3 linked regions of the Notamacropus eugenii genome follow. The protein of the gene in region 1 purifies or fractionates together with the protein of each later gene. This does not show direct contact. Links are inferred from orthologs where the notes say so. Each region holds a gene or a part of one and is shown in the gene's direction. Other genes may lie near its edges.

The links.
Region 2: the proteins of MAPK7 (region 1) and PFDN5 purify together in Homo sapiens (affinity purification with mass spectrometry; 3 studies listed by BioGRID and IntAct, with this or other methods). This does not show direct contact. The link is inferred for Notamacropus eugenii from reciprocal best matches to the Homo sapiens genes MAPK7 and PFDN5.
Region 3: the proteins of MAPK7 (region 1) and PFDN4 purify together in Homo sapiens (affinity purification with mass spectrometry; 3 studies listed by BioGRID and IntAct, with this or other methods). This does not show direct contact. The link is inferred for Notamacropus eugenii from reciprocal best matches to the Homo sapiens genes MAPK7 and PFDN4.

The regions. Positions count from the first base shown.
Region 1 is NC_092874.1:319,640,321-319,644,069, reverse strand, and holds the start of MAPK7 (mitogen-activated protein kinase 7), read left to right. Parts: upstream 1-1,367; 5' UTR 1,368-1,698; coding exon 1,699-1,945; intron 1,946-3,749. UniProt on the Homo sapiens protein: Plays a role in various cellular processes such as proliferation, differentiation and cell survival. The upstream activator of MAPK7 is the MAPK kinase MAP2K5.
Region 2 is NC_092874.1:226,239,362-226,243,110, forward strand, and holds the start of PFDN5 (prefoldin subunit 5), read left to right. Parts: upstream 1-715; 5' UTR 716-782; coding exon 783-854; intron 855-945; coding exon 946-1,048; intron 1,049-1,377; coding exon 1,378-1,409; intron 1,410-2,622; coding exon 2,623-2,697; intron 2,698-2,805; coding exon 2,806-2,911; intron 2,912-3,749. UniProt on the Homo sapiens protein: Binds specifically to cytosolic chaperonin (c-CPN) and transfers target proteins to it. Binds to nascent polypeptide chain and promotes folding in an environment in which there are many competing pathways for nonnative proteins.
Region 3 is NC_092872.1:512,589,803-512,593,551, reverse strand, and holds the start of PFDN4 (prefoldin subunit 4), read left to right. Parts: upstream 1-1,323; 5' UTR 1,324-2,160; coding exon 2,161-2,184; intron 2,185-3,749. UniProt on the Homo sapiens protein: Binds specifically to cytosolic chaperonin (c-CPN) and transfers target proteins to it. Binds to nascent polypeptide chain and promotes folding in an environment in which there are many competing pathways for nonnative proteins.

The DNA.
Region 1 (3,749 bases):
TGCTATTCCTCCCTTTGATCCTGTTACCAGCCACTGCCATCAGGATCCTCCCTAGAGTCTATCTGTATTCACCCCAGGGGACCAGTGATTCCCATTCTGCCCCATCAAGACCATTCCTGGGGCCGCAGACTGTTGGCATTCTTCCCTCAGTCTTTTTTTTTCTGTATTTCAAGTCCCATTTTGCCTCCACAAGGCTCTCAGATTCCATCCAGCTCAGACTCTGTCTGCCCACGGTCAAACACCCTCCCGGGCACTCTAATGCCCCACGTGCCACGGAAGAGGAGGCCGCGGGGCACTGCCAGGTGGCACAGCCAGATGGCACTGATCCGGGAGTCCAAGCAGACCTGGAGTTCGGCTCTGGTTCTGCGGCTTTGGACTTGGGGAAGCCACACGCTCTCTTGGGTCTCAGCCTCTGTATCTGTAACACGATGGACTTGGCCAGCTCCCAATGGGGTCTCCCATTTCGGGCCTCGTCTCTATCCTATCGATCACCAATTAGTATCTCTCATGGGGGAGAGGCTGACATGGAGGAAATGCTCCTGCGCGAATCCAGCTCCAGAAAGAAGGGACAGGCCTGTAAGGCCGGAAGCCCGTCTGGCCCCTCAGGGTCAGCCATTCCGGATAAAAACCTCCCTTCCCTCGTAGCCCATTCCAGGCACCGGCCCAGCGGCTGGGAACTCGAGTAACCTCCCAGCGCCTGCGCAGGAGCGAGCGGAGAAACAAAACCATTCCTCCCTTCCTTTCCTCACTTCCGGCTCGCTTCCCTTCCGAGCCGGGCTTTTTCATTCGCCTTCGCCCCGCCCCCAAGCTCTCCGACTCCCGGGAATGGCTGCGCCAAGCAGAGGCCCGGATAGACCCAGGAGAAACAGGAGGCGGGGCTTCCGCTGCAGTCGCCAAGGAAACGGATTGAACGCCCCTGGAGTCCTTCCCTAAGGCCCCGCCCGCCGCCTCTGGGAGCAGCTTGTGATTGGCTTAGCCCGGCTTTGCGCCCAGTCCCCAGGACCGTGATGGACAGACGGACCACATGGTTCAGTTTCCCTCCTCCCGAACCTTCCCTTTCCTCTGGCCCAAGAACAAGCTCTGATTGGCTGTGAGAAGCTCGAGCCACATCCTCCTGATACGTTCCCCATTCCTGGGTCCAGAGCGGCCCGTGCAGGTCTCTGAGGTGGGCAGTCTTGGGGGCGCGTGCCCATTCGAAGCTGCGTGAACCTTGGGCGGATCCCTCCCGCCCGCTCCAGGAGCCAGGTTCTCCGCCCCACTTCCCTTCTCTCTTACCGGCCTCCGATAGGATGAAGCGAGCTTAGTGGGTGGGGACAAGGGGAGGGCAGGCCTTCGATTGGGTGTGAGCGGATGGGCGTGGCCAGAGGGGGTGGGGAAGGAGCTCAGCCCTGAGGTGGCGGCTGCGGAGGGTGAGGGAGCGGGTGACCCCAGGTAAACTTTTTTCCCACCCCCCCCCAGCCGCTGTATCCCCCCTTAACTGAGGATCTGGGGATGTCAGGAATCTAACCCCCCCGGGAAGAGCGCGGGAGGGGGGCGCAGCCGTCTGCCGGGTCCGCGGGCCCCTCTCCCTCAGCCCTGCCCCCGCCCCCCGTGCTCGCGAATCTCCCTCTCCCGCCCTGCGCTCGCCCCCCACCCCGGTTCTTGCCCCGTCCCGGGGCGCTCCTGCCCCGCCCCCTTTCCTATTTTCTCTGGGCCGCCATGGCCGAGCCCCGGAAGGAGGAGGAGGAGGAGGAGGAGGACGAGGAGGGGGGCGCCGAGGGTCGCCCCGAGGCCGGGAAGGCGGAGCCTCCCAGCCCGGCAGCCTCCGTGGCGGCCAAGAACCTGGCGCTGCTCAAAGCCCGCTCCTTCGACGTGACCTTCGAGGTGGGGGACGAGTACGAGATCATCGAGACCATCGGAACCGGAGCCTACGGGGTGGTCTCCTCCGCCCGCCGCCGCCTCACCGGTGAGCTCCGTCACGGGGACCCGGGGCTGCCCTGGCCTGCTGCTCCTCCCCCATGGTCCATCTGTGCATGCCACCCATCCGGCCCGTAGGTCTGTACATCCATCCATCCATCCATCATCCACCCGCCCACCACCCTTCCATTCATCATCCAGCCCACTCTTCATCCAGCCTCCCATCCAGCCCGTGGGTCTGTCCATCCATCCATCCACCCACCCACCATCCTTCCATTCATCATCCAGCCAACTCTTCATCCAGCCACCTATCCAGCCCATGGGTCTGTCCATCCATCCATCCATCCATCCATCCACCCACCACCCTTCCATTCATCATCCAGCCCACTCTTCATCCAGCCTCCCATCCAGCCCGTGGGTCTGTCCATCCATCCATCCATCCATCCACCCACCATCCTTCCATTCATCATCCAGCCCACTCTTCATCCAGCCACCCATCCAGCCCATGGGTCTGTCCGTCCATCCATCCATCCATCCATCCACCCACCCACCATCCTTGCATTCATCATCCAGCCACCTATCCAGCCCGTGGGTCTGTCCATCCATCCATCCATCCATCCATCCACCCACCCACCATCCTTCCATTCATCATCCAGCCAACTCTTCATCCAGCCACCTATCCAGCCCATGGGTCTGTCCATCCATCCATCCATCCACCCACCCACCCACCATCCTTCTATTCATCATCCAGCCACCCATCCAGGCCATGGGTCTGTCCATCCATCCATCCTTCCACCCACCCACCCACCACCCTTCCATTCGTCATCCAGCCAACTCTCCATCCATCCCTTCATCTAGTCATCCCTATTGGGAGTCGTCCTTTGTATCGAATTTCCCAGAAATTCTATGAGAATCCTAGCTTTGGGGAACTTATTCCATGTACTCTTATTTTATTTATTTGAGTATATATGCTACTCACTTCCAGCCTTTGGAATATGAGATCCTGGAGAGCCCTGGACTGTTCTATATTTGTCCTTGTGTTCCACCTCCCCCACCCCACTCCTCATGCCTTCCTCAGTGCTTGATGAACTGTGTGCCTGTAGAGCGAACCAATGAAATGTTAGATTTATTCCTGGCTCTTTCTGCTTCTCAGAGCTTTCTCTGGTTTCCTTCATAATATCTTTTGAAGTAAGCAAGATGTGTTTGTATCTGTGTATGTATATGTATACATGTACAGGTATATACCTAGACATGTGTGTGCATATACATGTGTAGGCATACATGTGTGTACAATACATGTGCCCACATGATATGTGTTTACATTATGTGTGTATATATAACATACACATGAATATTATGTATGCATACACATATAAATAGCTGTAACATGTTACATATAACACATGTGTGATGCAATATATACGTATACATAGGTATACACATATATATACCTATGTATACAGAAGTATACATATATATATATACAAATATAAAAATAGCTATTCCCAGATGATTTCCAGAGAAATGTGACTTCTCTGGAGATCACATCTGCTAAGTAGCAACTCAGGAACCAGAGGAGAGGCCTCCTAACTCCTACCCCAGGGTGTAAACCATTGAGGAAGGTGGGAACCTAGGGTAATGGGGAAAAGGAAGGAAGGAAAGAAACAAGCATTTATTAAGTACCTGCTCTATGCCAGGAAGTGTGCTAAGCACTTTACAGATAGCATTTCATTTGTTTCTCACAATAACCTTGTAGATGTTGTTATTATCCCCTCTTACAGTTGAAGAAAGTGAAGTAGACAAAAGTCAAGTGATTTGCACAGAGTGATAGCTAGTAAGTGTCTAAGGCTGGA
Region 2 (3,749 bases), about 93 Mb from region 1:
AAGGAGTGAGGAGTACTGAGTGTGGGGCAGTGGTGTGGCCATTAGAGACTAGTGGAACTGACTCTCCCAACAGATAACATTTCTGAGGAGGAGCGGAGGGGCAAGCGGGGTCCAGTGGCCTTTCAAAGACCTTGGCCCTGGCTCTGAGATCCGAGTACCAGAAGGCTGCCTTCCAGGGTGGCCTGGAGGATGTGATGCCCAGTGCGCTCAGTCACCAAGCGCTAAGGGCCTCCTGGTGTGCCAGGAACTGCGGCCGGGGAGCAGGCCGGTGGGAGGAAATCCTTTCCGAAAATCTGCCACTTAGTATCAGAGTACTGCCAGGAGGACTAAGAAACTGACACTTAGGATGCAGCCTGCGCGAGTCGGGCCAGCACTCGAACCCGGGACTCCCGTCCTGCCTCCCCACCTTTTCGGCCCCGAAAGCCTCAGTGAGATGCCCCCTTCCCCGGGGCAGTTGGGGGATCCCGAGCGTGGCGAAGGGAACACGATCCGGACACGACTCTGAGTAGCACTGTATTTCTACTCCGCACACTGCAGGGCAACATGCTGGATACATTATGGCCGGCGGGGCGGGGCGGGGCGGGGCGGGGCGGGGCGGGGGGAGGCTGGGGGGGGGCGGGGGGCGGCGCTCCGGGAGCAGTGGGCCCGCGGGAGGCTGACGGCCCAGGATCATAGAGAGCGCGGGCCGGGCGGGCGCCTCCGGGTGCCATAGAGACGCGGCCGGCGGGTGGCTAGAGCGCCTCCCACGCCCGGCGCGCCCCGCCCTCGCCCAGCCTCCCAACATGGCGCAGTCGGTGAACATCACGGAGCTGTCCCTGCCGCAGCTCGAGCTGCTCAAGAACCAGCTGGACCAGGTGAGGCCGGCCCGGGGCGCCCCGGACCCCGGACCCCGCCCGTCCGCGCCGGGCCCCCCCTCATTCTTGTCTCTCCCCGCGCCCCTTACAGGAGGTGGAGTTTCTCTCCTCATCCATCGCGCAGCTCAAGGTTGTCCAGACCAAATACGTGGAGGCCAAGGAGTGTCTGAACGTGCTCAACAAGAGCAACGAGGGTATGGGGGTGGGGGGGCGGGGGAAGGGGAGGGGGAGAGGGCCGGAGAGGGCGAGGGTGTGGGCTGGGCTTTTCTGTAGTAACCCATCGCCCAAGTTTGAGAAGCAGCTCTTCAGAAAGCCTTCTCTGCCCCCTCCAGCCTCACACCAAAGGCCTTCCATTTCTTTCACACTTTGACTTAAATGCCAAATGTCAGAAGCTCCCCCTTCCTTCTTCTTTTCTCCTCGCTCATTTTTGGTTATCAGATTGAGTAGTTCCAGCCTGGAAAACCTCCTGGTTGGGTTTCCTTTTAGCGTCGTCCCCTGGTGTTTATCTCTGTTACCTTCACAGGGAAAGAATTACTCGTGCCATTGACCAGTTCTGTATCCTTCCACTGGAGACTGCCGGTTTCCTTCCCACCTAGAAAACGGTTTTGGTTCCTTGGGCAGAGTCCTTTCCGTACTTGATTGAAAAAACTCCTCGCTCACATGGGGCCAGAGGATGTTTCTTAGCTACCTTGCCATGATCTAACCTCAGCTCTCTTCAGATACTTAAGTTCAGGTGATCAGTGGGAAGGGAAAGAGTTAATTGCAACTACCTGATTCAAGTTTATACTGGCCCTTTGAGTCCCCTGGAGTCCCCTAATCAGATTGAGTATAAGACAATGTCCTGGCTACCACAGGATTAGTAGAGCTGAGATCAAGCAATATCCTTGTCCCTTAGAAGCTTATTAGTAAACTACATACGAGTCACAGAGAAATAGAGATGAGGGAAGGAAGAAGACTTTGTGGGTATTGCTTCACAATTTGAGATTAACTATCCCTTTACCATGTGTCACTATACTTCAACAGGCTATTCTGGACATTGCCTACGTCAGGTTTATAGAGAAAATCCCTGTATTCTGTAGTCTAATAAACTTCCTTAAACATAAATAAGTACTGATGGAAGATAAACAGTTAACTAATAGACGCTGAATGACTTCACATATAAATACATGTAAATCAGGAGCCAAGTTGTTGGTGGGTTTGGAAGTGAGGCCTGAGTTTTATATTTGGTGGTGGTGTTCAGTCATGCCTGACTCTTCATGACTCCAGATTTTTTTGGCAAAGATACTAGAGTGGTTTGCTATTTCTTCTCCAGCTTATTTTATGCTGGATATGCACACTTTAAAGATGAAGAAATGGAGGCAGATAGGATTATGTGACTTGCCTGGGGTCACACAGCTATGTCTGAGGCTGAATCTGAATTGGTACTCTGTCCACTGTGCTACTTTTCCACTGCCTATATATTTAATAGGCTTGTGGAAAGTTATCCTTTATCAATATGAGTACCAATGGGAGTTAACATTTCAGGAAGAGAAATGGATTTGTTTTTGAATGTGAGCAGGTGGAAATGAAATTTTCAGTTATAGGGCACCTTCTTATGGTTTCTTTAGGGCTCTCTGTTCACAGAGAATGCCTTGACCGTTCTCCTCCTCTGTCCATTTCACACTATACTAAGTTCACAACTCTCTAGCTTCAGAACTTCTGGCTTTTGAGAGGGAAAGTGAAGGTGTCCCAGGCTGGGCCAGCCCTTTCCTTAATCCTCACCCCTCAGATGTATGTACCTGGGAAGCTACATGATGTGGAGCATGTTCTCATTGATGTAGGAACTGGCTACTATGTGGAGAAGGTAAGTTGGTGCAAGAGGAGGGGTTGGGAGATGGCATCATTGACAGGACAGTTGGGATATCTCTCCCCAAGAGTCCATGAGGGTCATTAACTTCTCCTCCTTTGGCAGTCAGCAGATGATGCTAAAGACTTCTTCAAGAGGAAGATTGACTTCCTCACTAAGCAGATGGAAAAAATTCAGCCCGCTCTGCAGGAGAAGCATGCCATGAAGCAGGGTGAGCCCCTGGGTTCTAGGTCGAGTGAACCTCCTTTTTGTTTGATTCTAGGCCTATCACTGTCTTCCCATCTTTCTCTGTTGCCTTTGTCTTTCTCTGGGTGTTATATGTGCTTGACTTGGCAATTACCACATATCGAGTACCCCCTGTGAGCAGAGATGTGCCAGCTCTGGAGGGTAGTCCCAGTTTAGTGGAGGGTAAAAAAACACGTATACCTCTGAAGATCTGTGACTTCATCAGTGTAGGGGCTCCCTCCGTGGCACAAGTTACAACTCATCCACATTCTATGAGCATGTGCAGTTCTTGTCTTTGTCTTTCCATTTCTCCATAGCTGATCTACCCAGTGGGCTGGTAGCATTCCCTTGACTCTTTTAACATTTCCAGGGTGCCAGTGTAGCAGTCTGTCTGCCCATCTGTTACACAACTTCTTACTCTAACTTCTTTGGTAATACGCCACACCCTACTTTTGCCTACCATGCAGCTTTTCACTGCACTTTGGGTCAGCTGAGTGTTGATTCTTTTGAGATTGTAGAATTCCATGCTTCACACTCATAGCATCATCTGGAAACTACCGTGGATAAAAAGAAGGGCTTTTGTGGCAGGGATCAGTTTGTAATTACACGAAGTGGTATTCAGCTGCCCCGCTGTAATTCAACCCGATCTTAAACTACCTATTCATTTCAGGACCCAGCTCATCTGGGCTACCTGTAATGCCTTTGTGAGATAAATATGTACTGAGAGACTAACTCAATGGGCTCTCTGTGCAACTGCATGTCATAATTTGGACAATATTCATTCTTCATCCACTTGTTTTTTCCTGAGTGGATTGCAAGGCTTA
Region 3 (3,749 bases), on another chromosome or scaffold:
TGACTATAGGAAAAACTTGGATCTTTTCAGCAATGCAATGACCTAAAACAACTCCAAAAAACTCATGATGGAAAATGCCATCCACATCTAGACAAGGAAATATGGATTCTGGGTGCAGATTGAAACATACTATTTGGTCTCTTTTTTTATTTTTGTTTTTCTTTCTCATGGTTCCTCCCAGTGGTTCTAATTCTTCTATACAACATGACTAATGTGGAAATATATTGGATGAGAATGTATACATAGAGCCTATATCAGATTCCATGTTGTCTTGAGGAGGGAGAAAGGTAGCAAGAAGGAGAATATTTAAAATTTGTAGAAGTGAATGTTGAAAACTAAAAATGAATAAGTTTAAAAAAATAAAATAAACTAAAAAAATAAAAAGTAACATTCTTAAATTTTCAAAGAACAACCCTCATAGCAACTAAGCTGGTGTTGGCAAAACAAAAGCAAAAATACAATATTTACTTCCTTCAAGGAGTATATATTTTATAAGGAAGGACAATATGTTGCAACTGCAAACACTCTAGCATACCCAAGATAACCTGCTACCACAGGTTCTTGTAGCTTCATTAGTAGGAAAGACAGCTGTTTAAGGGGTCAACAATCTTTTTTTAATTACACTCACTAGTTCAGTGGAAAAGTCAGCACCCTGAACTTCAGAGAAAACACAAACAAGAGAAAATGCAGAGAAAACATAAGCAGACAAAGATCAACAGACAGGGCTCTACTGCCTGAATCAAAACAATATTGCTATACACTTTACATATATATCCCTGGATGGAGAGAGCCTTTACATTTGAGCAGTCAGGAGTCTGAACATCGGGTTGCTCAGAGGCTCGACCAGGGAATCGCAAGGTCCTTCTCATAAGCAACGCCCTAAAGCAAAATACCAACTCAGAGTATATATACACTTCGCAGAGCCAGAAGGCATCACAATCCTCCTGACCTTGCTAATTAGAAATTAGCAAAAAGTGTGAAAGCCTGCCTTCCTTCCTCTAAGCAAGCTTACCTTAATAGGTGGGGAAGATCTTCAAGTCCCATTAATATGACACATGTACACATATACAACATATATGTTATATCTATCTATCTATATCTATACAAATATTTACAAAATAAACACAAGTAAATTTAGAGGGGAGGCACTAGCATCTGGGGAGACAGGCAGGTACATCTCATAAAGAAAATGACTCATAGAGGAGGAAGACAGTGTTTGATTTAAGCTTTTAAGGAAAATTAAGATTCAAAAAAGAAAAAATGAGGAGGGAGTACATTCCTGAAGGGAATAGACTATGCAGAGGCTCAGAAGACAGATTGTCCCGTGTGGAAAAAACAACAAATGGGCCAGTTTGACTGGATTGTAGATTAGTTAAGGAAGAGTGATGTGTAACAGGACTGCAAGGCTAGATTCAAGCCAGACTGTGAAGGGCTTTAAATGACAGAGAAGTTTACATTTTATTTTAGACATGGCAATAGGGAGCCACTGAGTTTATTGAGCGGGCGTGTCCTATTGTTATAGAACTGTGCTTGAGGAAAATCCCTTTGTTTGCATTGTGGATGAACTCGAGAGACTCGAGGCAAGCATTCCTTGGCTCTTAAGAGATGATTGCAGTAGTCCGGATGACAGGTGGTGAGAGCCTGAACGAAAGCGCTGACCAGGACAGTAGCAATTCTCAGGAACCTCTTAAGCTTTAACTGCTCGCATGGAACTGTCAGGGGCTCAAGCAGCATTTGTTAAGCGGCCACAATGGCCAGACGCAGTGCCTGGGAAGCAGGGCTAAGGTCGTCTAAGGAGGGTTCCACCCGCACGTCACAACCCTCCTTCCTCCCATTGGGCAGCTCTGTCTGGTCCCCTCCGCCTCCTCTCAGCGCTGCTGGAGCAGACTGCAACCTCCCCGCCACACCCCTTTTCAGTAAAGGATGGAGGACGAGGGTGGCTGTGCCTTTAAGAGGAAGATACCAAGTGCTTTCTTGTTTACACCTTCTCTCTCGGCTGCCACATGCTAAAAATCAGGCATAGTAGAGCAGAGAGAAGAGAGCCGAGAAATTTCTCTTTCGGGCGTGGCAATCTCCCACAGAAAGAAGTCGAGAGGTGACTGCAGGGGGGCTGGGCTGACTTGTGCCACCCCTCCCGCCCTGAGATGGTCCAGTCCCAAGATGGCCGCCACCATGAAGAAGGCGGTGAGTGGGGCGCTCCGGGGGTCTGGGGCTTTGGGCCGGGGCGTCGGTGCCTCGGATGGCCCAGGATCTTGGGACTGTGAGGGGATGAAGCCGGCGAGGGGCACGCGGAGGGTCTGAGCTCCTGGGGAGCGTCTGCTTACTAGATGTGGCCCTCGGTTCGAGGGGCCCGCGGCCGGAGCGGCCTTATTACCTTCTCCCCACTCCCGTGGGGCTTGGGGGGACCTTAGGCATGAGGCCGGGGCTCATCCTCGGGCCATTGTGGGGCTGCGCGTCTGGAAGTGCCGAGGGACATAATCAGGGGCCGGAGAAGTCTTTTGGTTCCCCTTTTCCTCTTCGTCCCTGGACTGGGGCCCCCTGAGGACCCGGCCCGGCCCCGTGGGGAGGGGCAGCCTCACTCGGAGGGGTAGAGCCTGGGGCGCATGTGCAGTGGCGGTACCTGGCTGTCTCTCCTTGACGCCCTGGGGGTCTGGGGAGTGGGTGGGGACGCATCCTTAGGGTGTATGGCAAGTTCTCTTTGGGTAGCTGGAGAGATTGGGTGGGGGTACTTGGATCAAGTTTCGTCCATCCTAGGACTGTCGGCTCTTAGGTTTTAGAGTCGAAGGGCTCCTTAGAACGTAGAATGTCAGAGCCAGAAGGACCATAGCGGTTATCTGGTCCAGGAGTTCTTAACCTTTTTGTGTGTCTTGGCTGGACCTCTTTGGCTGTCTGGTGGGACCAGCGAACCCCTTCTGAGAGGAATGTGTCTAAGTAGTAACAATGATAGTAATTGGCACTTATGTAGCATCTTAAGGTTTACAAAGTGCTTAACAACATTATCGTATTTGATCTTCACTACAGTCTTAGAAGGGTAGGTGCTTCACTCTTGTTATTCTCATTTTACAGATGAGGAAACTGAGGTAGATACAGACTATGTATCTGGTCACTCAGCTTGTGTCTGAGGACTGGTTTGAGCTCAGGTCTTCTGACTTTATGGCTAGTGCTTACGTAGAATTACAAAAGAACTAATTGAATCTATATCTGTTCGCTGAATGCTGTGATAAGGACTCCTGATAATCCTACCTGCTCATTTCACAGACAAGAAAACTGAGACCCACAGTGAGGAAGTGAATTGTACAAGGTCACTGAGTAAGTAGGAAAGCCAGTATTCATTTTGGCCACTGGTCTGTGAATCTAGTGTCAAGCACAAATTTAGGCACAGGTTTTCCTCACCCAGTAAGGGCTATGAATTCTCAAAGGAAGCCTGAGTATTTGAGGAAAAAATATATATATGTATGTATATGTATATGGAGAGAGAGAGAGAGAGAGGAGAGAGAGAGGGAGGACATTGCGGCCAACTTTGAAGCCTAATCTCAGTCTGTTGGGATTACTTTCCCTTTTGGGAAGGTTGGGATTTTTACATTTCATAGTAAAAGTGAATTTCATTCCAGTGAAGTGTATGGGAAAGAATGATTTACTTGGATTTAATAGTCTGGGTTTGAATTCCGACCCTCACATCTCATCAGTCAGTAAGCATATTATATGTGCAGGTGCTTGTGATAAAATGATAAAAATAAATTATTCCCACT